Linked DNA regions of Tamandua tetradactyla. The protein of the gene in region 3 interacts with the protein of the main gene of each other region in a biochemical or structural test. Links are inferred from orthologs where the notes say so. Each region holds a gene or a part of one and is shown on either strand. Other genes may lie near its edges. The genes, in order: RAD51, RFWD3 and RPA1.

Region 1 (10,162 bases), on a different chromosome or scaffold from region 3:
AGGGGAGAAAATAGTATCTGCCTATAGAAACCAACCATGTTTGCTATTCCAGCAGGGACTATTTTAGCAATAAGGAATACACATACCTGGGTATAAGGATGTTCATGGCACCAAAAGTCATGACTATTAACCAAAAATGCAGACCCCTACCCCCACAAAAAAAAACCATCTCTGATGTTTTACCACATTTACCCATTTACTTAACTTCTGGGGTCTTGAAGCTTAGCTGGGATAAGGGAAACATGCATAATAAAGCAATCAGAATCAAAACTTTCTCTCCTTTCTCCCCAACTTCTTTAGTACAAGTTAGCTGCACTAATACTGTACCACTGTACAATGGACAAAAACAGCACAGGACCCCAGCTCTGGCGCTTAATGCTTTTGGGCAGTCTTGCATTGGAGCTTGGCTCTTTTCCCTTTATATCCCCAAGTCCTTCTTTCTGCCTGTGACAGCTGCCTTGCTAGTAACTCCAGCACAAATCTCAGTGATATAGAGAAGTTGCTCCTTTCTCCCTGCATGGCTGCGCACAAGCCACTGGAATTCTCTGGACAGCACGTATATACTTAAGTGCAAACGGCACAGAGACTCTACCAGGGGATTCTAAAGCTTTTTAGCATCTGACAGCCCAACTCTGAGAAAGAAAAATGATAACGTAGGAGAATTATAGACAAAAGAGCCCTGGCCAGACATGTTTAGCTCCTATATTAACCCTTCCCACAAAATCCTTGAAAACTCTCACGAAAATTCTCATTTGAGTTTTGATCTTGGATGGAAATGAATGATTTATGTAAAGGCTGTTATTTCTCCCAGCAGGTAGAAGAATCTTGTTTAACATTATAATCCAAAACTTAACAACTTAGCATTTACCTCTAATCGTGAAATAGGTTGTGGGCCAAAGCTTTCTTCTTCCACTGAAGTATCTGCATTTGCTTCAAGCTGCATCTGCATAGCCATTACTCGGGGTGTTCAATACTGAAAAATACAGATGGCCATCAAAAATATTAGAGAAACACTGTGGCTTAAGTATGGAGTTGCAAATTCAGTTTTACAATAAATCTCTGAAAAATTACTTGTTAGGCGTTTAGTCTAATCACTGACCTAACCATGGCAGGAAAAAGAACAAACCTTTCACCAGCATTCCCCTCTATTTAGATAGAGTTGTAACATAAAAGCTTCAGGAAGAGCCAGGATCACTTGGCTTCTTAAAGATGCACAGCTTCACTAGATTAACTATTCCCCTCTATATCCCTATCTTAAATTTCTTATATTATCTTTATACTCCTTGAGGGTAGGAGCAAAGTCTTATTTATTTTTATACACTTCATGATACATTATGCTAAGTGTTTGATAAATGTTTGTTAGAAGAATCCGGACATTCCAGTACTCTACTTTAAAAAAAACAACTCTCAACCTAGGAAAGGTTTAACAGCTTTCGTTCCCTTGTTTCCTTCTAGCAAGAGGAATTCTGGGGGTTGGCGGGGTGGAGCAAGGGAGGAAGGGAAGAAGGGAGGCAGGAGTGAAATGAAGATACAGAATGGCTGCCCATAAGCCTCCGTTCCTGAAAGGGAAACTTAAGCAAAGATCATAGCTTAATCACACACTTGTTGCTGTCAATAGGAGAGTGTGAAACTCAAGGATCACCATTTTATTCAATTACAGAACTTTAGACACCTCAGTGAATGAGAAAATGAAAAACATGCAAGTGACCCATTCAGTGTAAACCCTTCCATTTAGCCTAAGGCCTATAGAATTATGATTGCTCGCCTTGGAAAGAAGTAGTTTCAAATTGTAAAAATGAACGAGTCTTGATGTCCACAAGAATACGTCATCTTAAATAACATCAAAAGAGTCTGGACAAAGGGAGTGCACAGGTAGTTCAGTGGTAGAATTCCTACCAGCCATGTAATAGACCGGGGTTTGATTCCTGGCCCATGTACTTCCCAAAACAAGCAAACAAACAAATATTCAACAAATGGTGCTGCAATAACGGGATACTCACATGGAAAAAAGAATGAAATGTGACCCAGCCATACAGCACACAAAAAAAAAAGTTTTGGACAAATGTAATCTAAAAGATAAGAGATACATAAACAATGAACAAACATAAAAGATACAAAATTTCCATTCCTGGAGACTTGAGAAAAGATAAGATGACCATTTGTGTCCATTGGTTTGGGGATGGATCTCTTCCATGGCGATTTAGCATACTGTGAGTTTAGAATAATTCAATTTATCCAAATCATCTGGATGCAATTTAAATTCAAATACCTTTCTTTGTAATTTATGAAAACAATGGCACTGCAGATTAATGATGAAAGGATGGTCTTTTCAGTAAATAGAGATGGAATGATAAAATGAACTTTGCTAAAATATCACACATTATAGAAAAATATTAATTTCCAATTTAGATGGTAAATCTAAATGTAAAAGGTAAAGCAAAACTTTTAATATAGGAGACTATGTTCTTGCCCTTGGGGTAGAAAGGATTGCTTATACTGTATACAAAATGCAACAATCATAAAACAATGGAAAAGATAAAAATTGGACATAATATTCAGAACTTCTATTCACCAAAAGACAGTATTAAGAGAATATACTCAGGGGGGAAATTCTGCCACATATATAATCAATGGCTGACAAACAGAATAGACAAAGAACTCTTTCAAATCAATTAAGAAAAAGACAGACAACGCAAAGAAAAATGAGTAAGATTTAAACAAGCACTTCACAAGAGAAAATATCCAGATGGCCAACAAATATATGAACCGATGCCCAACCTCATTAATAATCAGGGAAATTTAAATTAAAACCACAATGAGACAATACTACATACCCACTAGAATAGCTAAAATTAAAATGACCGACAATATCAAGTGCTGGCAAGTTGAGTGACTCCTACAGGGCTGTGTGCATGTATACTATTTTGACCATTTTGGAAAACTAGCATTAAATGTGAAAGTTCAAAACAGACAAATACTTTGACTCAGGAATTGCACCATTCTGTGTATTAACCACCTGAAAAGCATGCACATGCACACCAAAATATATATAGGAATGTTCACAGCAGCCTTTCTCATAAAATCCAAAAACTGAAACTAAGAAGAATAGAATGGATATGGAATACTATTCTTTATGAATCTACAGACATAATGTTTCATGAAGTCAGTCACAAGATAATCCATAAAGTATTATTTCATTTACACAATATTCAAATACAGACAAAATTAATCAATGGTATTATAAGTCAGTGGTTACCTCTGAGGAAAAGAGGGGCAAGTATTGGAAAAGGTTGTGCAAGGAAGGCTTCTGGGGTGCTGACAGCGTTTTATTTCTCGACCTGAGTGGTGATTACACAAGTATATTTATTTTGAATACACAAATGCATACAGTCGTGATGTGTGCATTTTTCCCTCTACATACATTACACTATACTTGGTAAATTTAAGGGGGGAAAACTCACTTCCCAGCATTCCCAGGCCACCACGTGACCAGCCTTCCACATTAGATTATGAAAATATTTCTTGGCAAATGAAGATTGGCACTTTGTAAGCAAAACACGGTGTGGCGTCAAGAGAAATGACCAGGAATCCGGAAATCATGGCTGTGGCATTAAAAAGTTGTGACTTTAACTAAGTCACTACACCTCCTTAGGTCTCGACTTCCTCGCCCACAGAACGGGTGTTAGGCTTGAAGGTGTCTAAGGTTCCTCCCAGTTCCGGTTGTCTTCACAACGAGCTCTGAAAGGCGGTTGGGCCTGGAACCCGCCCCTGCTCCGCCATCTCCAGTTTCTCAGCACAGAGGATAAGCGGCGGGAGAGCAAAGGCCCAGGTCCCATTCCGGCCAACGCGGGGACGAGCCGCGGAAAGGGGCCGGATCTGCGCCTCCACACTCACCTCTGCCTGCAGCGCCCCTCGCTCGCCAGCCGCGCGCTCTGACCTCTGTCCGCTGGCCCTGCGCGGGCCCGACCCCGGCCAGCTCCGGCCTCCTCGCTAGTGCCCCGCTTCCTTACTCCCCTGCCCAGGCTGTCTGCGCACAATCCAAGCGAGGCTCAGCTCCCAACTACGCTTGCCGGAGCGCGCCTCAGCTTTCCTCAGGCCTGGGTCTGGGCCTCAGCTCGCACTCTGCTCGGCGGCTTTCGGAAATCCCGCCAAACCCTCTCGGGCAGGGTCACGCCTGCGTCAGCGTAACGTGTCCCCGCCCTTCTCCAATCCCCCCGGAGCCGCTTTGGACACTGCATGCGAGCCCGAGGGATGGGTCCAGAGAACCAGCATGGTATTATAGGCTTGCTCCCTTTGTTTTACTCTAAGGATTATTTAAAATTTTCTGAACTGCTGTTCTCGTCTCTCTCCCAGATCGAGGACTACAACTCCCAAGAGGTAGTGGGGTCACCCGGAACTATATCTCCCAGCAGGTACCGCGGTTGCCGCAGCCCCCACCCTCGTCCCTGTGGTGGATAATCTGGTTCAGGGGACGGTTTTTTTTTACTTTGTTTCTGCGGTGTCTGAACCTGGGCTTTTGGCATTTCGCCAGACCTGAGTCAGTCAATTTCCCAGAGCAAGTTGTTTTCCAGGTCCCTGGAAGTGGTGAAACTGGAGAAACCATAGGAGATGAATGAAACTAGGAAATTGAGCTGAGAGCTAGCTCTCCAGAAGTGGAGAAAGAAATAGAAATACTGCAGGCTATCTCGGAGACACTGGTAGTTCGGTTCTGTACAACCGCCATAAAGCAAATATCACAATAAAGCAAATATTGCAATAAAGTGAACCACACAAAGTTTTTGGTTTCCCAGTGTATATAAAAGGTATTTACATTATACTGTAGTCTATTAAATGAACAATAGCATTGTGTTTAAAAAAAAATTGTACATACCTTAATCTTAAAATGTTTTAAATTTTTATTAAAATTTAATAAATTTTAGAAGAAATAAAAAGGTTTTATTTCTGAAAACTGCTAATCATCTGCGCTTCCAGGAGGTTGTAATGTTTTTGCTGGTGAAGCTTCTCACTTGGATATTGGTGGCGGCTGTCTGATCAGGGTGGTGATTGCTCAAGGTTGGGGGTGACTGTGACAATTTCTTAACATAAGACAACAATAAAGTTGCTACATCCATTGACTCTTCCTTTCGTATCTCTCTATAGCATACAATTCTGTTTGATAGCATTTTGACCGCAATAGAGCTTCTTTCAGAATTGGACTCACTCTTTTCAAAAGCTGCTGCTGCATTATTAACTAGTTTAATGTAATATTCTTGTCATTTCAACACTATTTAACAGCATCTTCACCAAGAGGAGATTCCATTCTCAAAAACTCTTTGCTCATCCATACTAAACAAGCCTCATCCGTTTAAATTTAATCATGAGATTGCAACAATTCTGTCCCATCTTCAAGCTCCACTTCTAATTCTAGTTCTCTTGCTTTTTCAACCACATCTACAGTGACTTCCTCCACTGAAGTCTGGAAACCCTAAAAGTTGTCCATGAGGGTTGGAATCACCTACCAAACTCCTGTTAAGGTTGATATTTTGACATCCTTCCATGAGTTATGAGTGTTCTTAATGGCATCTTCGATGCTGAATACATTCCAGAAGGTTTTCAATTGACTTCATCCAGATCCATCAAAGAAATCCCTCTCTATACCAGCTATAGCTTTACGAAATGTATTTCTTAAATAACAAAACTAGAAAGTAAAAATTACTCCCTGATCCATGCTTTGCAGAATGGATGTTGTATTAGCAGGCATTAAAACATTAATCTCACTCTACATCTCCATCAGGGCTCCTGACCAGGTGTGTTGCCAATGAGCAGTCATATTTTGAAAGGAATCTTTTTTTCTGAGCAGTAGGTGTCAACAGTGGGGTTAAAATATTCAGGGTGGGTCACGGTGGCTCAGCAGGTAAGAATGCTTGCCTGCCATGCCTGAGGACCTGGGTTCGATTCCCGGTGCCTGCCCATGTAAAAAATAATAATAATAATGGTGTCATACTAATAAAATAAAAAAGTTCACAATATAATTACTGTATCAAGATATACTAAAAAAATATATATATATATTCAGTAAACCATGTTGTAAACAGATAGGCTGTCATCCAGGCTTTGTTGTTTCATTTAGAAACCACAGGCAGAGTAAATTTAGCATAACTTTTAAGGGTCAGTATTTTCAGATTGATAAATGAGCGACAGCTTCAACTTAAAGTCACCAGCTGCATTAGCCCCTAACAAGAGAGTCTGTTTGTCCTTTCAAGCTGTGAAGCCAGGTATTGATTTCTCCTCTCTAGCTATGAAAGTCCTAGATGGCATATTCGTTCAATAGAAGGCTGTTTCACCTGCATTGAAAATCTGTTTTTTTGTGTAGCCCCTTTTATCAATAATCTTAGCTATATCTTCTGGATAACTTGCTGCAGCTTCTACATCAGGACTTGCTGCTCCACCCTGTATTATTATGTTACTCAGACAGCTTCTTTACTTAAACCTCATGAACCAAACTCTATCTTCAAACTTTTCTACTGTAGTTTCTTCAACTCTCTCAAGCCTTCAGAGACTTGAACAGAGTTAGGGCCTTGCTCTGGAGTATGTTTTGGCTTAAGGGGATGTTGTGGCTGGTTTGAACTTCTATCCAGATCACTAGAACTTTCTCCGTATTAGTAATAAGACTGTTTTATTTTCTTATCTTTGATGTGTTCCTGGCAGTAGCACTTTTAATATCCTTCAAGAATTTTCCTTTGCATTCATAATTTGGCTAACTGGTGCAAGGGGTCTAGAGCTTTCAGCCTGTCTTAGCTTCTTCGTTAAGCTTAATCATTTCTAGCTTTTGATTTAAAGAAAGAGACATGCAACTAACTCTCCCTCTCACCTGACCACTTAGAGGGCAGTGTAGGTTCGATTGTTGGGTCTAGATTTTGGATGACTTTTGCCTTCATCTGCAACGATCTATATATGTCTGTTAGGTCTAATTCATTTATCACATTGTTTAGGTTCTCTATTTCCTTATGATTCTCTGTCTGGTTTTTCTTCTATAGAGGAGAGTGGTGTATTGATGTTTCCCACTATTGTTATTGAAAGGTCTTTTGCTCCCTTTAGTTTCGCCAGTATTTGACTCATGTACTTTGGAGCTCCTTTATTGGGTGCATAAGCATTTATGATTGTTATTTCTTCTTGGTGAATTAATTCTCTGCTTTATTAATATGTAGTGTCCTTTCTTGTCTCTTATGATATCTTTGCATTTAAAGTCTATTTTTTCTGATATTACTATAGCTACCCCTGCTTTCTTTTGGTTACAGCTTGCATGAAATATCTTTTCCATCCTTTCACTTGGCATCTATTTGTATCTTTGGGTCTAAGATGAATATCTTATAAACAGCATATAGATGGATCATATTTTTAAATCCATTCTGCCTATCTGTATCTTTTAATTGATGAGTTTAGTCCGTTGACGTTGAAAGTTATTACTGTAAAAGCAGTTCTTAAATCTTCCATCTTCTCCTTTGGTTTTTATTTGTCAGATCTATATATTTTTCCTCTCTCTGTTTTTATCCTTTAAGTTACCCTTAGTAGTACTCTTCAGTTCTGTGCCCTTCTCCAGACCTCCTTCTCCTATCTTTGTTTTTCAGCTGACAGTACTCCTTTTAGTATTTTTGCAGGGCCGATTTCTTATTAGCAAATTCTCTTAGCATTTATCTGTCTGTGAAAATTTTAGTCTCTCTCTCACTATTTTTAATTGTTATTTAAGGCCTTTATTAACAGATACTTGCAATTTGTTGACTTTTTTGAAAAAATTAAGTTATAAACTTTTATTACAAATTAAATTAAATTAAATTGGATCTTCTTCTCACCTAAATTTACATATTCTCTCTATGTGGTCTTCTAGGGTTTTATGGCTGTTTTTCTTCTTCACCACTGTATTGTCAGTGCATAATTCAGGGCCTAACTTAGTAAACAATAAGGAAGTATTTGATGTATTAATGAATAATTGTTTCCTTACATCCCATCACCCAACCCAGTTCATAGTTAATGTGCCATTAAAAAAAAAAAACCCTATGCTGCATAGATAATGCAGGTAGTTCTAGTTATCTGGTCGACTGGCAAAAATCAAGCACTTAAGGTCTTCAGCTCCAATCCTTTGTTCATTTCTTATTGCTGGAATTTCATATTCACTTCTTGTTGTATGACTGAAGCAGATGATGATAGAGATGGTAAGCTAGCATTTACTCAGATCCACCCTGCTCAGCCTTGGGAGCAGAAGAATCCTCAGTTGGTAGATTGGCTACTTTTGTCTCTTTGCCATCTAGTGGTTTAGGATTTTCTGAGTGCTGCATCAGTAACTGAAGTTACCACGGTGCCAATGTTGAGGTGGCTGCTGACCTTGGGTCTCATTTCCTTGATTTTCTTTACCATTTTCATTGCTGTCCTCTCCAGGCTGTTTTTGGCAAGGAGGGCCCCTGCGGAATCCTGGTCTGTAACCCAGATACATATTCTGCCTCACTGGTCTACATTGTTCTCCTGCACCCTGGTTGTCAGTACCCTCCATCACTTCTCCTTGCACAGGAGGGTTGAAAACTGTGGATGACACCCACAGGGTCTCTGCATGTAGTAAGGTGGGAATTGTCGCCTACAGTAGGGCCAGTGTTGTTGGCCCTGGCCTTTGGGAGCACTCCCTGATCCCTCGTTATTTTCCCCATTCTCACTATTCTGGTAATTTTGCTGGTAAATTGCATGGAGGGCCCCTACAACATGGAAAATGTGTATAATGGTTACAGTCTGCTGCATATTTACTGTCTTGCTCTGGAACTCCACCAGGACCTGTGATGTTTGCTACCCCTGCCCCCTTTTCTCCTTCATCAACATCAAACTCCACAGTCTGTCTCTTACGCTGTGAAGGTACTTCTTCTTATGGCAGTCTGGTGTACAAGCACATCTTCCTTAGTATCATTCCTGTTGATGAAAGCATATCCATTTCTTGCATCAAACCATTCTGCTGTTCCCAAAACTTTCCAGGCAATGATCTTGTCCCTGTAGGCAGGTGCCGCCAATGTGAGGCCGCTTGGGATGCTGCTTCCTGTGCCACTGCCTGTGGCACTGAGCTTGGTGTCAACAGCACTGAGGGCGGGGGTGGTCGCAGCTGGGGTCTCATGGTTGCGGCGTTGGTGAGGAGGGCCGGCTGTGGCAGCTCTGGCTCCTCTGGGGCAAGATGGTAACTAGGCCAGCAGTGGTGGGGGCTCCGCTGCGCAGGGCTCTCTTCTCCCTCACTTTTGAAGGACAACTTTGATGGATAAAGAATACTTCACTGGAAATTTTTCTCTTTCAGAATCTTGAATGTATCATACCACTGCCTTCTTGCCTCCACGGTGCCTGTCAAATAGTCCAAACTGAGCTTTATGTGGCTTCCCTTGTATGCAGTGAATCACTTTTCTCTTGCTGCTTTTGGGACTTTCTGCTTCTTTTCAGCATCTGACAGTTGATTAGTATGTGTCTCCAAGTGGGCCTATTTGGATTTGGGCTTCTTTGATTAGCATATTTATGTCTTTTATAAGGGTTGGAAAGTTTTCTCTAATTATCTCCTTAAATAATCTTCATAGCCCTTTATTCTTCTCTTCTTCTGGGACACTAGTGATTCTTATATTTCTATGCTTTTTGTTATCCATCATTTTCCTAAGATCCAATTCAAAGATGTCCATCTTTTTCGCCATTTGTTCTTTGTGTGAATTCAGTTGTCCTGTCCTCTGCTTGCTTATTCTTTCTTCTGCCTCTTCAAATCTGATGTTGTGTGTCTCTAGTATATTTTTAAACTTTTTTTATTGTATGGTATAACATATATACAAAGCAAAGAAATAAAAAATGCAATAGTTTTCAAAGCACTCTTCAACAAGTAGTTACAGGACAGATCCCAGAGTTTTTCATGTGCTACCATATGATCCTCTCATATTTTTCCTTCTAGTTGCTCTAAAATATGGGAGGCTAGAGTGCGTAAATATTTTCATCATCATAATTGACTTTTTTTCCTTCTTTTTTTGTGAAAAATAACATATATACAAAAAAGCTATAACTTTCAAAGCACAGCACCGCAGTTAGTTGTAGAACATATTTCAGAGTTTGACATGGGTTACAATTTCACAATTTTAGGTTTTTGGTTCTAGCTGCTCTAAAAACTGGAGACTAAAAGAGATAT
Region 2 (10,601 bases), on a different chromosome or scaffold from region 3:
AAATCGATGTACATGTTCTAAGAAATGATGAATATACAACTATGTGATGATATTAAGAATTACTGATTATATATGAAGAATGGAATGATATGTTAAATTTTTTGTTGTTAATTTTTTTTAATTAATAAATTTTAAAAAATGTCTATTCATAAGAAAAAAAAATGGGCTTAGTGGTAGGTTTGAGGATTATACATGGGCTCAGCAACATGGACTTCCACTCACCAAGGCCAACCTGGCTATGGCTACTGCTGAGTGCCCAATCTGCCAGCAGCAGAGACCCACACTTATTCCCCAATATGGCATCATTCCCCAAGGTGATCAACTTGCTACCTGGTGGCAGGTTGATTATATAGGACCACTTCCATCATGGAAAGGGCAATGATTTGTTCTAACTGGAATAGACGCATACTCTGCACATGGGTTTGCCTTCCTTGCATGCAGTGCTTCCACAAAAACTACCCTTCATGGACTTATGGAATGTCTTATCCACCATCATGGTATTTCCCACAGTATTGCTTCTGATCCAGGAACTCTGTTCTAGTTTGCTAGCTGCTGGAATGCAATATTCCAGAAACAGAACGGCTTTTAATAAGGGAATTTAATAAGTTGCTAGTTTACAGTTCTAAGGCTGAGAAAATGTCCCAATTAAAACGAGGCTATAGAAATGTCCAATCTAAGGCATCCATCCAGGGAATGATACCTTGGTTCAAGAAGGCCGATGAAGTTCAGGGCTTCTCTCTCAAGTGAGAAGGCACATGGTAAACACAATCAGGGCTTCTCTCTCTCAGCTGGAAGGGCACAAGGCGAACATGGCATCATCTGCTGGCTTTCTCTCCTAGCTTCCGGTTTCATGAAGAACCCTGGGAGACGGTCTCCTTCATCTCCAAAAGTCGCTGGCTGTGGACTCTCTGCTTCATTCTCTGCTCTCTCTGAATCTCTTATTCTCCAAAATGTTTCCTCTTTTATAGGACTTCAGAAATTAATCAAGACCCACTCGAATGGGTGGAGACATGTCGTCACCTAATCCAGTTTAACAACCACTCTCGATTACATCACATCTCCAGGGAGATGATCTAATTACAGTTTCAAATATACAGTGCTGAATAGAGATTAGAAGAAACTGCTGCCTTTACAAAATGGGATTAGGGTTAAAACATGGCTTTTCTAGGGGACACACATCCTTTCAAACCAGCACAAACCCACTTCACAGAAAATGAAATGCAGGAATTGGCACATGGAATTCTCTGGTCTTACCGTGTTCCTCATCATCCAGAGACAACTGGTTTGATAGAACAGTGGACTGGCCTCTTCAAGACCCAATTATGGTGCCAACTAGATGGAAATACCTTGCAGGACTGGGGCAGTGTTCTTCAGGAGGCTGTGTATGCACTGAATTAGCATTCACTGTATGTTGCCTTTTCTCCCAAAGCCAGATTCATGGGTCCAGGAATCAAGGGATGGAAATGGGAGTGGCACCACTCACTATCACCCCTAATTATCTACTAGAGAAAATTTTTGCTTCCTGTACCTGAAGCCTTAAACTCTGCTGGGCTACAAGTCTTAGTTCCAAAAGGAGGAGTGCTCCTACCAGGAGACACAGCAATGAGTCCATTGAACTGGAAGTTAAGACTGCCACCTGGCCACTTTAGGCTCTCATGCTACTGGATCAACAGGGAAAGAAGGGATTACTGTACTTTCTGGGGTGATTGATCCTGAGTATCAAGGGGAAATAGGATTGCAATTACACAATGGAGGTAAAGAAGAGTTTTCCTGGAATATATCATATCCCCTAGGGCATCTCTTAGTACTACCACACTCTGTGATTAAAATCAATTGAAAACTGCAACAACCCAACCCAGGCAGGACTACCAATAGCCCAGAAACCTTAGGAATGAAGGTTTGAGTCATCCCACCTGGAAAAGAACCACAAGCCAGCTGAAGTATTTGCTGACTGTGAAGAGAACATGGAATGGGTAGTGGAAGAAGGTAGTCATAAATATGAACTATGACCACATGCCCAGTTAAAGAAACAAGGACTGTGATGGCATGAATATTTCCTCCCTGTTTTGTTATAAGCATATTTGTATTTGTACGTAAGCAAATATCTTGTTTTCCTCTTATCATATGACATACATTGTATTGTTCATGTTATAGTATTTAAGTTATTAGATATGAAGTTCAAGAGTGAAAGTTACCTAAGGACTTGCACCCTATTCTGGAGAGATTTAGTGTGTTTCCTGTTGTGTGCATGACAGTTTAGTGTTATTAGGTGAAACATGTCTGTTACATTCTATTTGGAAATTCAGGATATTTCAAGATGATGAGTATAGCTGCCCAGTTGTCAAGGGGTGGACTGTGATGGTTAGGTTCTGGTGTCAACTTGCCCAAGTTATTATGCCCAGTTATCGGTGCACTGGCCTGACTATTGCTGCAAGGGTATTTCGTGGCTGGTTGATAAACCGGAAGGCTGGTTTATTAAATCATCAGTCAGTTGATTGCAGCTTCAGCTGATTGCATCTGCAATCAAAGTGTGTGTTTTCCCGCAAACAATGTAATCCAATCAGTTGAAGACTTTTAGGAAGAAGACAGGCTTTTTCACTGCTTCTTCAGCTAGCAAAACTCTCCTATGGCGTTCAAGATCCTTTGTCGAAGCTGCCGGCTTCACAGCCTGCGCTGTGGATTTTAGACTCTTACATTCCCACGGTTGCATGAGATACCTTTATCAATCTTCTATTTACAGATATCTCCTGTTGGTTCTGTTTCTCTAGAGAACCCTGACTAATAATAGCTACTCTTTAAAAAATCAAAATAACAAGTGTCAAGAGGATATGGAGAAATAGGAACACTCATTCATTGTTGATTGGAATGTAAAATGGTACAACTGCTGTGTAAAACAGTTTGGTATTTCCTTAGAAAGTTAAGTATAGAATTACCATATGTCCCAGCAATCCCACAACTAGTTTTATACCCAAAAGAATTGAAAAAGGGACTGGAGCAGGTATTTGCATACTTATGTTTATAGTAGCATTATTTACAATTGCCAAAAAAAATAGAAGCAACCCAAGAAGCATCAAGAGAATAAAGATAGGAGCATCAACAGATCAATGGGTAACAAAATATGTATGCACACTTTAGGATGTAATTCAATCATAAAAAGGAATGAAGTTCTGATAATAAAAACAATAATAAAAAAGGAATAAGGTTCACATGGATGAAACTTAAAGACACCAGGTTGTGTGAAATAAGCCAGACACAAAAGGACAAATAGTGCATGATATTACTAATATGAAATAATTTGAATAAGCAAATTCATAGACTCAGACTACTATACATGTTACCAGAGACCAGCATTGGGTTAGGCAATGGGAAGTTACTGCTTAATTGGTATATAATTTCTATTTGGGGTGATTGAGTAGTTGTGGTAAAGGATAGTGGTGATGGTAGCACAATATTGTGGCCATAACTACAGAATTGAACTGTACACTTAATTACGGCTAAAAAGGGACATTTTAGTTGTATATATGTCACTAGAATAAAAATTTTAAAACAAAACCATAGGACTGTACAACACAAACAGTAAACCCTAATCTAAACTATAGACTATAGTTAATAGTACAAGTATAATAATATTCATTCATCAATTGTAACCAGGATAACACTAATGCAAGGTGTTAATAACAGTTGGAGGCCTCTAGCCTTTCTCACTTACCTTTGTGAGAGTGCCCACATGTCCTCTTACATGTGTACCTAATAAATTTCCTACTTACTTGCTAAAAAATAAAATAAATAAAGTAAATGAACTACCTTACAATCTAAATAAATAAATAAATAAAAATCATGGGGCGGGGGAGATGTATGGGAACTCTGCATTTCCTGCATATTTTATCTGTAAACCTACAACTTCTTTAATAAAATAATTATATTTTAAAAATCAAATTTCAGATTATCTATGACTTTCGATTATTCATGTTCTCCTTTACCGTTCCACTGAAAATTGGCAGTTGCGTAAATAAAAGTCTGACAATGCATAGCCCGTGCCTGAGATTTAGGTTTTTAAGTGTTTCTCCTAAAAATGAGATTTTTGTCTTCCTTTCAGCTAAATGCTTGAAAAATGGAAAGCGATGTGACCTTCTTTTAGCAGGAGGCAATTTATTGAAGTGGTCTGGGATTGAAGAGATCACACAGGCAAATTCTGCTTGAGCTCTTCAACTCCACGAGAGGATATTTAAGAACAAGATTGTCTCATCCTCTTATGAATCTGGAATTCTAGGGACAAAATAGTGAAATTATTCAATTAGTTACTGTCCTTTGGATAAAGATAATGCCACCAGACAAAGGCCATGGATTCTTTCACCCGACATGCTCAATAACCAATTTCTGAGACATTGGGGTTTCAGAGAGAGAAAGGGTTTATTACTACATGCTAGTAGGAGAGCAAATGGCCTAAGGGCCCAAAAGCTGTCTCCCAGAACTGCAGTGTAGTTCATATAACATTCGCAGTTTTATTAGAGAAAAGGTGGGCAGGGTTTAAGATGAGTACAGTGGCCCCAGATGATGTAATTAGAGGTGATCTAATTATCAAGTATGTGCAGATTAATTACATGCTTAGTCACAGAATATATGGAAGAAAATGGCTGAATGAAGTATAGGTGACTTGTAGGTTAAAATCTAAGCTACTGCGCATGTCAGGTGGGCCCACTTTGGTTATATCTGATATTCGTCATTAAAATAATTTGGGATTTAGAGTGGGTTAGTTGGGGGGGAACCCAAGACCCTTCATTGATAAACCCTGGGGGGCTATCTTTAGGTATTATAAGACTCTTAAATTGAAAAACTGGGTAACTAGGTACAGATGAAGGTTAGTCACAAAGGTTTTACAATCACAGGGGCAGAAGACAAGGGCTAAGCAACCATTATTAGAGATCAAGGCAGCTGGATTATAATTCAGAGATTTCAGGTATTTCCTATCTACTCCGATATGCCAGAAAGCAAAAAGGGACATTAACATAATGATTTAGTAATTAAAATCATCCCTTAAATCCTCATTTCTCGGTAATAATAACTTTTTCACTAAAGCGTTAGGGAGAATCAATGGGAGCCAAAGTTTTAATATTTTCATATGTATCCCGAAATGGAAGGGTAAATCGTTCTTTTGTAACTTTGTCCCGCCAGAAAGTTCAAGCAAATCGCGGCAAAATTCTTTAACCGCTCTCCTTTTCGCGGGCTGAGCGCGACGTGAAGGGCATAGGTTTCTACCAATTGTACGAGTTTTCTTCGTGCATGGTCCCGCCTCATCGGCCTACGAAGGACCAGTCAATGAGAGCGCCGCTGTTCCCGCAGCAGGGACCAATGGAAGAAGAAGAGAGATTATTGGTCACCGGCTGGTGGTTGCTGCCCAATAGGAGCAGGCCGGGCCCGCGGCTCAGGCGGGGAGCTACGGTTGCTTAGGAAGTGGCGGTTGTGGCCCGGGCAGTGCTGGTTCTACGAAAGCAGGGGCTGCCACTGCGCGGGCTCACGAGCTTTACGCGTCCTTCTGTCTTCAGGTGAGGAGGGTGCTAGTTTCTCCCCAGGCGTTGGGTCTCTAGGTCCCGGGTAGCTTGCTCGGGCTGCTGCGGGACCCGGCGACCCACCCCCACCCCCACCCCCACCCCCACCCCCACCCCACCCCCACCCCCACCCCCACCCCACCCCCACCCCCACCCCCACCCCCACCCCCACCCCCACCCCCACCCCCACGAGGTGGGTTGCGGGCGGGCGTAAGCGGAGGCCGGCGGCCGGAAGAGGTTTGGCCTCTCTGGGCGGGTCAATGGTCTAACTGAGACGCCCGAACCTCCCGGGCGAGTCGCCTCAGGTGGGTGGGGGGCGGTGAGGGCAAGAACTTTGAGCGGTCCCGGAAGGAGCCGAATTCCCTGCAGCAAAGTCTCTCGACTATTCATTTGCAAATAATTGCACTCCCGTCGAGCGTCCAGAACTTGCGTCACTTTGAAGAAACTGAGAAACTTAATTTGTTATTTTATCTAGTTTTACGCTGTGACGCAACTCTGTGGCGTTCTTCGATTATCTCTATTTTATCGATGAACAAGTTGAGCAGAAGCGTTAAGAGACCCACAGCAGTAGGTAACAGAACGGGGATTCGAACAGAGGTCTCTGACTCCCCGGTGCCTCCTCATACTTGCTAATAGGCAGGTCGTCTTCCCGGCCTTTGGCGGGCATTGTTTCAAATGACCGAAGCCCTGTGAAGGAGCAGTTGGAAGGATAACATTTCAAGTCTCAACTTCAGTGGCGTACATAGAAAATAGCATTTGTGTGGCACGATGAGATAAATACAAGGGTTGGGTGGCCAACCCAAGCTCTTTTGCTCTTAGGCATCCCTGGTTACCTCAGGGGCTGGGTGGGGGGACTCAGTATCTCTCCGTGTGGCTTGGGAAGCTTTGCCCCAGAACGGCCCGTTCCGCAGAACTTTCTGCAATGGTGGAACGTTCTGTATCTGCAGAACTTCGCGATGTTGGAGATGTCGTACATCTGCGTCATCCAGTACGGTAGCCAGATGTAGCTGTTGAGCACTTAAAATGTGCCTAGTGCGACGGAGGAACTTAATTTTTAATTTTATCTGATTTGAATAGCCTCATGTGACTAAAGACTAGGGTAGCGACTGGTTCAGGTCCCTGGAGTCGGCTCTCTTTGGTCCTTCCCTCATTCAAACCCCCTTTGTTTTCTGGAAGGTTGATTTGTTGAGTGTCTTTTGGGTACTTCGAGAAGTAGCTTGGGCCGCTGACCTTCGGTTCTGAGGCTGTAGGTGTACTCGAGAAACACGTCGTAAGCAATATTAAAGGCATGACCTTAATATTATTTCTGAAGAGCAGTGAAGAATTTATGAGTGAAGTTTGGAAGAGTGTAATTCTTTTCTTGGATAGTGCGTTAAAATTGGTAGGTTCTGTAGGGCTGTAATTCTACAGAAGTTTTAGTGATACAGCACCTGATGTGTTCTCAGGTTTTTGGTTTGGGTTGGGTTTTTGTGAAGGGTAGTGAACACTATAATAGGTATTTTGCGTTTGCTATGTACTTGATGCTATGGAGGATACAGTGGTGGATTAGGTTTAGATTCTGCTTTCTGCCCTCCTGGTCTAATTAGAATGGTTGTTCACTAGGCATATGATGGGAGGAAATTTCATTTTTTAGTATTTAATCATACTGAAAAGTACACAGAAATAAAAGGAGACATGTGCATTTACCACCCAGATTTGACAAATCTTGGCCTTTTGATATGATTGCTTCGTCTTATTTTTTTTTTCCAGAAATAAAAAAAAAATATATAGTTGCAGCTTCACATACACCCCTATACCCTTTCTGAATTTGGCATTTATCGTGCCCATGCGTGTTTTATACTACTGTCATCTATTTATAAACCCAGATAGTAGTATGGTTTCGCATGTTTTTAAAAGACATTATTTTGGTAACATATATAGTATGAATTTTGCCATTTTACCTATTTTTAAGTGTACAGTTGAGTGACTTTAAGTACATTCAGTATTGCGCTATCATCACCGCCATTCATTACCAAAACTTTTTTATCACCCCAAACAAAAACTCTGCACCCATTAAGCAATAACTCTCCATTTCCTCCACCCCCTAACCCCTAGTAATCTCTGATTACTTTGTCTCAATGAACTTACTTATTCTAGATATTTCATGTAAGTGGAATAAAAAAATATTTGTCATTTTGTGTCTAGCTTACTTCACTTAGCATATGTTTTCAGGGTTCATTCATGTTGGAGCATGTATAAACTTCATTCCTTTATATGGCTGAATGTTCTATTTTATGGATATGCCACTTTTTTTAAACTTTTTAAATTGTACAGTATAACATATACAAAGCGAAGAAAAAAAAAAGCAATAGTTTTCAAAGCTCTCTTCAAAAAGTGGTTACAGAATAGATCCCAGAATTTGTCATGGGCTACTATACGATCCTCTCATATTTTTCTTTCTAGCTGCTCCAAAATATAGGAGGCTAGAGGGCTTAAATACTTTTTTATCATCACAATTGACTTTTTTTTCCTTCTTTTTTTGTGAACAATAACATATATGCAAAACTATAAATTTCTAAGCACAGCACCACAATTTGATTTGGGTTACAATTTCAGATTTTTACTTCTAGCTGCTCTGAAATACTGGAGACTAAAAGAAATATCAATTTAATGATTCAGCACTCATATTGATTTGTTAATTCCTATCTTTTCTGTATAATTCCACCATCACCTTTGATCTTTGCATATCTCTCATTGGGGTTTGGGCTATGACCATTCTAAATTTTTCATTTGGAAGGGTCTGTCTCTAATATGGGGTACGGAGATGGAACTATCTTATGTTCTGGAGAGGCTGGGCTAGGTTTCAGGACTGGAGGTTGTAGGTTTCTGGGAAGGTACTCTAGTGCATGGAAACTTTATGGAATCTTATTGCCCTAAGTGTTCTTTAGGATTGACTGGAATGGTCCTGGTTGGGGGTTGGCAGGTTGTGATAGGTAGCAAGGTCTACCTGAAGCTTGCGTAAGAGCAACCTCCAGAGTAGCTTCTCGACTCTATTTGAACTCTCTCTGCCACTGGTACTTTATTAATTACACTTATTTTCCCTCTTTTGGTTAGGATGGAATTGTTGATCCCATGGTTCCAGGTCTAGATTCATCCCTGGAAGTCATCTCCCACTTCACCAGGGAGACTTTCACCCCTGGATGTCATGTCCCACTTAGGGGGGAGGACAGTGATATTGTGTCAAACTTTAGGGACACCCAAGTCAATAGGCCATGACCTTGATCCATATTTTTCTCCCGTATCTTTGGGGACTTTGCCAATACTTTTCGATTATCTGCTTAATATACTCTAGGATATATCCAGGCATTACAATAATCTATACAGGATTAAAGAATAAGAACTCTTTCTTACTCTGTGCTCCCTGTGTTTCAGTTGTTGAAGTGAGCTATACAGATAGGTTGAATTAGATTATGCACTACAGAAAATTTCAGTTATAGATCAGATAAACTTTTCTTCCCTTGGTTTCAAAGAGTATATGTGGTTCTAAAGTATAGTCACTGTCTTCCTTACCCCTGTGTTCTGAATTACTTTAAACCCAACCTGTTCGGCTTCATTCTTATCTCTAATATCAGGTTATATATATAAAACAGCCTCTCAAAATCCAGAAATAATAGCCACCACTCCAGACTTAATGTGTTTGCTCTAAAAGCTTACGATCTAGATCCCTGTTTTCTTATAAGCATTTTCTGAAAGTGACCATACCATTGTTGTTTTTTTGTTCCTGGCTTATTTTGTCTCACCAAATGTCCCACATGTTCGTTCATATCACTGTATGCCTCATGACATTGTTCCTTTTTGTAGCAGCACAACCTTCATTCATAAGCATATACAATCGTTCACCAATCTACTTCTCTGTCTGTATCCTTCAGCCACCTGCATTCATCGAGCATCATGTAGAGGACCCAAAGTCCAATCCATCAACATTCTGAATTTTAAATAATTTCATTGTTCCCCAGAGTCAGGAAACCAATAAACACATCCTCACCAAATAGGAAATCTAAACCTCCTCTTAAGTCTTGTCCCATCCCCATTATTTACCTCTGCTGTTGCTGTGGTAGTGCTTATGGTTTCCTTTTGAACATAGCTCATTGCATGCAATAGCTGTTTTCCCCCTGTACTCTGGACTTAAACACTCTTTGTACAAAAATCATATCTTTGAAGTAATTCTTACGAGAACTGATTCATATTTCTAGTATAAGTCAGTGGGACACATAGGTCTGTACAACCCCGTTCAATCTCGTTCATCTTCAATATGGTAATATTACTTCTAGACCCGCTAGAGAATCACCTTTGCTCCTATCTATTCCCTTATACTGGAGTTCAACCTCATTAGCTAACGACTCACCCATCACTATCTTCTCTGTATCTCTAAGTCTCCTATGTTTTGTATTACAAGCCTCTGGTCATACCTTTATGCTGGTCATAAAAGTGGAATCATACAGTATCTGTCCTTTTGTGTCTGGCTAATTTGTCCTGAAGGCTCATCCATCTTGTCATGTGCTTCAGGACGTCAGTTTGTCTTACTGCTGCCTTATATTCCATCGTATCTGTGTACTGCATTTTGTTGATCCACTTGTTGTTGATGGGTATTTGGTTTGTTTTCACCTTTTGGCGATTGTGAATAATGCTGCTATGAACACTGGTATGCAGATGTCTGGGTCATGCTTTCAGCTCTTCTGGGTATATACCAAGTAGTGCTATTGCTGGGTCTTACGGCAACTCGATACTTAGTTTTCTAAGGAACCGCCAAACAGTCTTCCATAGTGGCCACACCATTATACATTCCCACCAATGGTGCATAAGTGTCCCAGTTTCTCCACATCTTCTCCAACATTCAAAGTTTCCTGTTTGTTTAATAGCAGCCATTCTTTTTTTTTTTTAATTTTTTAAAACATAGCAATGAACAAACACAAACATTCTTACCATATGATCATTGCATTCTACATATATAATTAGTAATTCACAATATCATCACATAGTTGTATATTCATCATCATCATTTCTTAGAACATTTGC
Region 3 (10,267 bases):
ATAAATCTCCCGTATTTCTCCCCATATTGAAATAACTTTTTTTTTTCTGGCTCTAACATAGGTCTCACTAGCACTGAAATGATCATTTTTAAAGCTCTTCTTCCTCTTAGAAGTCACAGTTGAGGCAGGAACTCTCACTATGGGCTGCAAGCTACAGTGCCGTTCCTGCTACCACATCAGCAGGCCCTTTCCAGGTTCACCCACCAAGTACACTCACTTCTTCTTGCTGAACTTCACAATAACATGTCATTAACAACCGGAAGGGACCTTAGAGATCCTTTGGTCTCTAGACTCCTGGCTTTTTGCTCTGTTTTCTAAGTTTTATTGTGGTAAATACATACAACACAAAATTTCCCATTTTAACCATTTTTAATAAGATCTTTTATGACAATGCTTTATAACAAATCAAATCATACTAAATACTCAAAGTACTGAATAATTTTTTGAAATTCATGAGCTATCCTGGAACCAACTGTGTTGACATCTGCACTAATAGTGCAAAGCAATGGTAGGTAAAACGATTAGTCCCTTAGCATAGCTACTACACTAGGAGTCATTGTATTCTTCATTGCCTTGGATTTTTGGAGGGCTGGGAAGTTCACCTAAGAATGTCCTTGATGAGAGTGCACAGGTGGTTCAGTGGTAGAATGCGAGCCTTCCATGCGGGAGACCCAGGTTCGGTTCTCGGACCATTTACCAACACCCCCCGCCCCCCGAAAAAAAGAATGCCCTGATGAAGCAGTAAAAATTACCCATTATATTAAATCTCAACCCTTGAATACACAAAATTTTAATATTCTGTTTAACAATATGAAAGTATGCACAAAGTACTCCTGTTGTATACTGAAGTATGACTGCTATCTCAAGGAAAAATACTTGTGCAATTTCTGTTTAAATTGCCTAAGGCATCTGTGGGACACCATCAAGCATACCAACATGTGTATCACTGGAGCCCTAGAAGAACAAGAAAGAGAAAAGGGCAGAAAAAGTATGTGAAAAAATAAGGGCCAAAAACTTCCCCAATCTGATGAAAGAGAAAAATGTATACATCTATAATGCTCAATAGACTCCAAGCAGGCAGACTACGAGAAACACACCAAGACACATTAGAATGAAACTGTAAAAATCCATAAAAAAAGAGAGGATTTTGAAAGCAGCAAGTGAGATGCAATCCCCAATAAGATTTACAGCAAATTTCTCATCAGAAATCATGGAAGCCACTAACAGTAGGATAGCATATTTGAAGTCCTTAAAGAAAAAACTGTCAACCAAGAGTTTTCTATCCAGCAAAATTATCTTTTAAAAATGAAGGATAAATTAATAAAATGTTTACGAATACAAGCTAAAAGAGTTCACTATGAGAAGAGTTGCCCTACAAGAAATTCTAAAGGGAATCTTTCAGGCTGAAATAAAAGGACACTAGACAGCAACCTGAAGCTGTAAGAGATAAAAAAAAGAACACTGGTAAAGATAACTACACAAGTAAGTATAAAATCCCATATTATTGTACTTTGGGTTAGTAACTACTTTCTCCCCCATATGACTTAATAGGCAAATGTATAAAATAACATTTAAATCTTGTTAATGGGCATAAAATGTATAAAGACGCAATCTGAGCTAATAATAATATAAAGGGAGAAGGATGGAGATATATAGGAATAGAGAGTTGTACACTGAAACTAAGTTGCTACTGGTCAAAATAGATTATTAGTTTAAGACCATATATCTGATAAGGGTTTAATAACCAAAACATATAAAGAACTCCTACAACTGAACAAAAAGACAAACAACCAAACTGAAAAAGAGGCAAAGGATATGAACAGACATATTTCTCCAAAGAAGGTATTCAAGTGGCCAATAAATACATGAAAACATGCTCAACATTGATAATCTTTAAAGAAATGCAAATTCAAACTACAATGAGATACTACTTCACACTCACTCGGATGGCTATTTTTTGAAGGAAAAAACAATAACACAAACAAACCTGAAAACAAGTTTTGGCAAGGATCCAGAGAAACAGAAACCCTTGTACTTCGCTGGTGGGAATATAAAATGATACAGCCACAGTGGAAAACATAATCTTTTATTTTATGTTAATTCTTGCCCAAAAAGCCTCTACTACTGCCATCCTTTCATGTCTGTGCCTTTTGAACTAAAATGATATTATCTAATTTGGCCAATGACCAAAGTTGACAAAGGTTCTATACCACCAGAGAACAGAGGTTGTCTGTCACCACTAAGACAGAAACACACACACACACACACACACACACACACACACACACACACGCTCGAAAACGTCCTTTTTCATTCATGAGTAAAATGCAAATACTTCACCCAACACTGGAAATGTATTTCTAAAGATCTGAACATAGGGAAAACTCACTTATCAAATTATTTAAATAAAAATAATTTTTGTAAAAGCGAAGAACCCTAGTCTGTCTTAAAGCAACTACAATAATATGAATGAGGACTACAGTTTGCAATCACTTCCTAGGTCTCAACACTCATTTATTCAAATATTTACTCAACTCTTACAACAGCTTTACCCCTTCCCATTTCCCATGCTCCCTTTCTTGCTTATTTATCTCTGTCTCAAACACCCCTTACTTTTCACTGCCTCATTCATTCATGCAATTAGCAAACCTGAATCCTGCCGGCACTGCTCTAGGTACTGGGAAACTATACTGGTAAAAAAAACAGAAGTGATTGCGAGCCTCATGAAATTTAAAATCCAATAGCAAAGACAGTAGCTGATATGAATCAAATAACCAACAAATAAAAGTAAATTACATCTGTGGTTATTACAATACCTAAGTTTACTGAGCACTTACTATGTATTAGGCACTGGGCTAAGCACTTCAAATGGAATAACTCATTTAATCCGCCCACTAGCCCTATGCAATAAGTACTAGGTGTCATTGCCCTCATGTCACAGAGGAGAAAAAGGCAGAAAAAAGTTTAGCATCTTGCCCAAAGTCATACAGTTAGTAAGTGAAAAGGGATTATGGTTTCAAAATAAAGGAATTTAGCCTAGCAAAAGAAGTCAAAGACTTCTCTGAGGAAGTTAACTACTGACCTATTTCAACATTATGTTAGTTAATGAGAGGGGAAAATGAAGGCCCATCCAGGATGCAGAAAAAAGGAAAAGCATGTTCAAAGGCCACATGGAAGACAAGAGTGTAGAATATACCAGGAATTTAAACTTAAAAAAAATAATAATAATATAAGACAATAAAGGCCCTATGCTTGGAGAAGACATAACAAGTGGAACTATGATGAGGCTGTAGAGACAAGTAGGCTCAACCAACTCTGACCCTGCATCCACTATAAGAATTCTGGTCTTTATCCCAAGACCATTGGGAAGCCACTGAAGCAGTTTTTATATTTTTGCAACAGGGGATGGGAATCACTAGGAGTGTTGAGGAAAGAGGGTACACTGAGAGGAAGTGAGTAGACCAACCTAGAAATAAGAGTGGCAGTGTGGATGGGAAAACATAGATGGGTTTAAGAGGAATAAATTATACAGGACAGGATTTAAGTGTAATAAAATCATACAGGATGTGGTGAAGGACTGGACCTCCAGGATGAAGGAGGATGCAATAAGAACGATTTCTCAATTTCTGGCTAGCATACCTCATGAGATAAAGATGCCACAGATGGACAAAAAAAAATCAAAAGGCCCAGCCATAGAAAGGAAGATAATGTATTTGCTTTTGGACATGCTGAGATGACTAGATGCCTTTGAGACATGAAGTAAGCAGACAGATTATAGAGATTTGTCTTTCAGAGTAAAAGGCAGTTTGGAACAAAGAAAATTTGTGAGCAACTGACATACAGATGATAATGAGAATGCTTTGGAAGATGAGGGCCTGGAGCAGATTGAGTCTAAAAATTTACAAAGAGGGGTTTGCAAATAGGATGGGGAAAGATCACTCAAGTTGAGTCACGGAAACCAAAAGAGGAGAAAATGTCAACAGAAAGCAATGTTCAACAGACTCAAAGAGCTGATAACTCAGACAAATTGAAAACTGAAAAGTGTCAAGTTGGATTTAGCAACTTGGACGCCCCTGGTAACACCACCCAGAGCTTTCTATCGTGATCAGGGAGATTACTGATTGCAGTGGGTTAAAGAGTTATTGAGGGGTGAGAAAATGAAACAGATGAAAACAGAAAACCCTCCGGAGAAGTTTAGCTGTGAATTGGTGGGGGGCGGGAGGGGCGGGACAGGTGGAGGGAGATGGGGAGAAATCAAAAGTTTACTTTGTTTTGCTTTCTTGGGTGGGAAAAAGGTGAGCATTTCTAAAAGACGATAGGGAAAACCCATTGAGGAGTAACGGTACTTGAGAGGCACCCGGGCAGTTCCCCTACGGCTCCCCGCATCTTCTACACCCGCCCCCCACCGCGTTCTCTGCCCACCGGGTCCCAGCTCCCCTCCCCTTCTCCACTCCGGACATGTCCAGACTCCCCACCTCCAGGGCCCACAGCCAACCCCCGCTGGCGTGGCTCCCGGACACCTCCTTACCGCAATGGCTCCCTCACTCAGCTGGCCCACCATGGTTCCGCCAGGCTGACTCCGCGCTCAGACACCTCCGCAGCTAGGACTCCACTCCCGCGGTCCCGCACGCTTCGTAGCAATCGGCCCGAACAGTTGTGCGCGCCACCGCAGCCTCCCGCCTTGCACGCGGCGCGGGGGCGGGCCTAAAGCCAAGCTGCAACCGCATTGGCCGGGACGTGGCGGGCGCCCTACGTAATTACCCCCCTCCCCCAGGCGTTTCCGGGCCTGGTCGCCGGATGGCGGAGCCTAGGGGAGGAGTCTCGAGTTGTGGGGCGCGCCAAAGCTTGGGGGAGCGCGAGCGGAGGCTGCCGTGGCCCAGTTCTGGGAGCTTTCCCAGCGGGCTTTTGGCCCTTGGCTGGTGGAGCGAATGGCAGAGGACGGTTAGAGCTGCTCCCTGTTAATTCTGCCGCTAAAAATAGTCACAGCGGCGTCTGGTTTCCTTCAGCGACCGGGTTTGAGCGCCTGCTGCTGCTAGGCTGCGAACCTGGCATTTTAGAGGCCTCTGAAGGTAAATAAGAACGAGTTCTAGCTTTTCCCGACGTGCACAGTCTGTCCGGGGAGTTGCTGCTGTGCACTTACTCAAGGTGGACATGGTACGCCACAGGAGAGACACAAAGTGTGTTGGAATCACCGGCCATTTGAACTGAGTCATGAAGGATGTGTGGAAGTTTGCCAGGTGGAGCTCAGGTGACAGTAGGGTGTTCTTGGCAGAATGAAAAGGCTATGCAAAAACACTGGAGATACGAAACAGTTTAACAACCTGGGAGACGAGACGGGGAAGCTGTGAATAGTTCAGCGTGGTCGTGTACAGAGGAAGGAGAAGTGGGACTTGAGAATAAGAAAGAAAGACTAAAGGGCAAATAACGAAGGGTTTGTATTGGGCGTTCCTATGTGATAGGAGGGGTGTTTATGAATTTTAAGGCAGAGGATTGTTCTCTGTTGCAATGTGGACGATGGAGGTGGAGGGGAACTGAGGTCAGAGAGACTAGAAATGGTGAGGACCTGAACTGAAAGAGTGAAAGGGAATTTGAAGGAAAAAACACCTATGTAAGTGATAGAAATGTTATGTTAACTGAAGAGTTTCTCCGGTGAGTAAAAAAGAAAAATCTGGAACGACTCCTAGATTTCTGACTTGAGCTACTAAGGTGGATGGATGTTGCAAGAGCACAGGGATGGTAGCTAACTAATTTGATTCATGGTTACATAACCATTATCTAGCATGGTGCCTATAGCATAGCCTTTTTTTGGCATGGACTGGTACCAGCATAGGCTTTTAATAAATATTTTTGAATGAAAGGATGTTGTATGAGTTGGTGTGAGAGAATGTAGATCTTTCCTCAGACATATAAGGCAACAAAATATCCATATCAACAACTAAAGAAAAGACCAAAATAATTTATTTTGTTGCTTCACACTTACCTAGAATTTGTGCTTTTGTAGAAATCTGATTCCTTATTTTCTTATTCATTTTGCAGGTCTAAGCATGGACCTGCCTGTGGATGAGTGGAAATCATATGTACTTAAAAAGTGGTCTTTACTTCCACTCTCCATTCAGGTCACAGTTTCAACAGCAAAGTCTTTGAGTGCTATCTTTCTTCAGTGTTCTTCACATCTTCAGTAAGTGACTGGAAATTTTAATCTAGAAAATTTTCTCATTTGTCATTTGCTCTGAAGTAATATCTCTTCTTAGTGGGTTAATTTCAGATTTTTATGTTGTAGGGGCATTCAGCAATTCTTCGTACAGTTTTCACCTTTTTTTAAATGTACAATCATAGAACAAGTAGTGAGGATTATTTAGCTTTCTTGGTGTCAGTGTTATGTTTCAATAATTCAATACCTTGCTGTAGTCACCGTGCTCTGAACATTGCTATCGCCTAAAGGGTATTAAAGAGATTTATTAATTGTTCACGGAAATTCGTTAGTGCTCAAATTTAGAGAGGACCTTAGAGATCATATAATCTAAACCCCATAGTTTTCGAATTCCCTCAACTATAGCACTCAATAAGAAAAACATTTTACATTATATCCTAGTACACACGACGCAGGAATTTCTCAAAATGTCATTCATTCAATGAATATTTATTGATCACCTATTTTGTGCCAAATACTACTAGATGCTTAGAATACATAAGTGGCCAAAATAGACAAAGATCCTTACCCTTAGGAGCTTAATTCAAGCGAGGAGGGGTACATAATAAATATCATAAATAACTAAAGCATGTAATATGTTAAAGGTGATAAATACAATAAAAAAGAAAAAGTAGAACAAGCTAGGGAAAACTGGCTGTGCTCAGAATGAGTGCAGTTGTAGTATTAAATAGGATGGTCATGTTATGCCTCGTTGAAAAAGTGAAACCCCAGCGAAGAGTTGGAGGTAAGGGATTTAACAAAGTAGATATCTGAGAGAAGTGCACTCCAGGCAGAGACTAGAGCGAGAAACCCTAAGATGGGAGCATGTTTGGCATTTTCAAGGAGTCATAAACAGAGTAAGCCAGAGAGAGAAGTAGGAAATAAAGTCTAAGAGATAATAGGACAGGCATGGTGGTTGGGGGAAAGCAGGTGGCACAGACCATATAAGCCCTTGTCTTTAGGGTTTTTTTTTTTTTTCTTTTTTTTTTGGTATGCTGTATGTAGGGGTCACATTTCATTATTTTTCCATGTAAGTACCCTGTTATTGCAGTACCATTTGTTGAATTTTTGTTTTTTTTGTGTGTTTTGTTTGTTTGTTTGTTTGGGAAGTACATGGACCAGAAATTGAACCCAGGTCTCCCACGTGGCAGGCAAGAATTCTACCACTGAACTACCCTTGCATCCCTGGGCCTTGTCTTTTTTCTCTGAGAAGGAAGCTATTGCTTGAAGTGATAGGCAGGCAGAGGTCTATAAAGATTACCAATCCCACCCCTCACACCCACCCCACTGCAAGGTTCCTGTACTTGGTTATTCAGTCTAACATAGTGTATGTACCACTGTGAAGAGGTTTTTTCGGATGAAATTAAAGCCCTAAATTATTTCACCTTGAGATAATGGAGATTATCTGAGTGGGCCTGACCCAGTCAGGTCATACCTTTCAAAACAGAGGTTTTTTCACTGGTAGCAGAAGGGTCAGTCAGAGACGTTCATAGAACGAGAAGGATTTGATGTGCAGTTGCTGACTTTGAAGGTCGGGGGCCACATGGCAATGCGGGTGACCTCTTGAAGCTGAGAGTGGCCCCTGGCTGACAGCCAGCAAGGGAATGGGACCTCAGACCTACAGCCTGAAGGACCTTAGAAATGGATTCTTCCACATATCCTTCCAATAAGAGCTCACTTTGAGTTGGCCTTCTAACACCCTAGGCAGAAAACCAGTTGAGTCTACCTGTCTTCCTTCAGAGCTGAGATAAAAAATGGGTGTTTTTATAGAAGCCTGTACTTTTTATTTATAGATTTTGCCAATTTGTAATTTTATATTCATTTGATCGCTTGGTTAACATCTAGTCTCCCATTATACATTATGACCCATGATGGCAGGGACTTTGTTTTTCTTGAAGTTTTGTCTTCAGTGCCTGGCATGTAGTATATAATCTTAAAATATTTGTTGGTTGTATAAATGAATGATGTGTGCTTCTTTATTGTACCTGAAGAGATGTGCAATAGTTACCTTCTGTTAGTTAAGTCTGAAATCTCATTTTACTTATTCTATTAAGACATGTTTAAAAGGAAAACACTATGAGGAGATAATATATTAAGTCATTATTTAAAGTAAACCTCCTATTCATATTAACTGAACCATTTTCAAGAATAAAGTAAAAACTTGAAAAAATAAGAGGTAGAAGAGGTCAGTTTTAGTAGTGGGAGGTAGCCATGGAAATTTGAGGCATATGGAAAATTAGTGGGTCTTTGTTACATTATAGTTGGAAGCTGTAGTAAGAAGACCTAGATGGCAAAATAACAATGTGCAATGATTTGAAGAAAAGGGGCTGATGGAAAAATAAATGAGAACAGAAGACAAAAAAAAAAAAATGGGTGTTGTTTTTAGCCATTAAGTCTATGGTAATTTGTAATTTGTTATACAGCAACAGAAAAAGAATACACAGGATTTTTTTTTTTACATGGGCCGGCACTGGGAATCGAACCCGGGTCCTCTGGCATGGCAGGCAAGCATTCTTGCCTGCTGAAGCACCGTGGCCCACCCAGTACACCAGATTTTAAGAGAAGAATGATGCGATTTGATTATGTTTTAAAGCAGGGCTCAGCAAACTAAAGTCTGCAGGCTAAATCCAGCCTTCCACGTGTTTGTTTTTTTCTTTTTTAACATTTTTAATTGTGTAATATAACATATATACAAAGCAAAGAAAGAAAAAAACAATAGTTTTCAAAGCACTCTTCAACAAATCGTTACAGAACAAGATCCCAGAGTTTGTCATGGGCTACCATATGAAAAAAATCCTCTCAGATTTTTCCTTCTAGCTGCTCCAGAATATAGGAGGCTAGAAGGAATAAATATATATTTTTTTATCACAATTGATTTTTTCTTTTTTTAAAATTTTTTTATTAATTATAAAAATTAACAACAAACAAAACATTAAGATATCATTCCATTCTACATATATAATCAGTAATTCTTAATATCATCACATAGTTGCATATTCATCATTTCTTAGAACATTTGTATCAATTTAGAAAAAGAAATAAAAACAAAACGATAACAGGAAAAAAAGATTATACATACCAAACCCCTTACCCCTCGCTTTCATTTACCACTAGCATTTCAAACTAAATTTATTTTAACATTTGTTCCCCCTATTATTTATTTTTATTCCATATGTTCTACTCTTCTGTTGATATGGTAGATAAAAGGAGCATCAGACACACGGTTTTCACATTCACTGAGTTACATTGTGAAAGCTATATCATTGTTCAATCATCATCCAGAAACATGGCTACTGGAACACAGCTCTACATTTTCAGACAGTTCCCTCCAGCCTCTCCACTATATCTTGAACAACAAGGTGATATCTACTTAATGCGTAAGAATAACCTCCAGGATAACCTGTCGACTCTGTTTGGAATCTCAGCCATTGACACTTAGTCTCATTTCACTCTTCCCCCTTTTGGTCGAAAAGATTCTCTCAATCCCTTGATGTTAATTCTCAGCTCATTCTAGGGTTTTTCTCAGTCCCTTGATGCTCAGTCTCAGCTCATTCCAGGATTTCTGTCCCACGTTGCCAGGAAGGTCCACACCCCTGGGAGTCATGTCCCACGCAGCAAGGGGGAGGGTGGTGAGACTGCTCGTCATGTTGGCTGGGGGGAGAGGCCACAACTGAGCAAGAAAAGAGGCTCTCTTGGGGGTGACTCTTAGGCCTAGATTTTAAGTAGACTTGACCTATCCTTTGTGGGGTTAAGTTTCATATGAACAAACCCCAAGACTAGGGGCTCAGCCTGTAGCTTTGGTTGTCCACACTGCTTGTGAGAATATCAAGAATTCAACTTCGGGAAGTTGAATTTCTCCCCGCTCTCACCTTTTTTTCTTTTTTTGTGGAAAATAACATATATAAGCAATAAATTTCAAAGCACAGCACCACAATTAGTTGTAGAACAGATTTCTGAGTTTGGCATGGGTTACAGTTCCACAAATTTAGGTTTTTGCTTCTAGCTGCTCTAAGATATGGAGACTAAAAGAGGTATCAATTTAATGATTCAGCAATCATATTCATTTGTTAAATCCTG

Evidence for each region.
Region 1: the proteins of RPA1 (region 3) and RAD51 form a complex in vitro, tested with the Homo sapiens proteins (2 studies listed by BioGRID). The link is inferred for Tamandua tetradactyla from reciprocal best matches to the Homo sapiens genes RPA1 and RAD51.
Region 2: the proteins of RPA1 (region 3) and RFWD3 form a complex in vitro, tested with the Homo sapiens proteins (3 studies listed by BioGRID, with this or other methods). The link is inferred for Tamandua tetradactyla from reciprocal best matches to the Homo sapiens genes RPA1 and RFWD3.

Annotation. Positions count from the first base shown.
Region 1 is NC_135340.1:53,975,065-53,985,226, reverse strand, and holds the start of RAD51 (DNA repair protein RAD51 homolog 1), read right to left. Parts: upstream 4,356-10,162; 5' UTR 4,088-4,355; exon of another isoform or gene 3,462-4,087; intron 976-3,461; 5' UTR 956-975; coding exon 869-955; intron 1-868.
Region 2 is NC_135342.1:69,204,501-69,215,101, reverse strand, and holds the start of RFWD3 (E3 ubiquitin-protein ligase RFWD3), read left to right. Parts: upstream 1-5,933; 5' UTR 5,934-6,074; coding exon 6,075-6,117; intron 6,118-10,601. UniProt on the Homo sapiens protein: E3 ubiquitin-protein ligase required for the repair of DNA interstrand cross-links (ICL) in response to DNA damage. Plays a key role in RPA-mediated DNA damage signaling and repair.
Region 3 is NC_135332.1:55,591,797-55,602,063, reverse strand, and holds the start of RPA1 (replication protein A 70 kDa DNA-binding subunit), read right to left. Parts: upstream 4,699-10,267; 5' UTR 4,562-4,698; coding exon 4,529-4,561; intron 1-4,528. Other genes in the region: protein-lysine N-methyltransferase SMYD4, read left to right, coding at 5,212-5,248, 6,037-6,178. UniProt on the Homo sapiens protein: As part of the heterotrimeric replication protein A complex (RPA/RP-A), binds and stabilizes single-stranded DNA intermediates that form during DNA replication or upon DNA stress.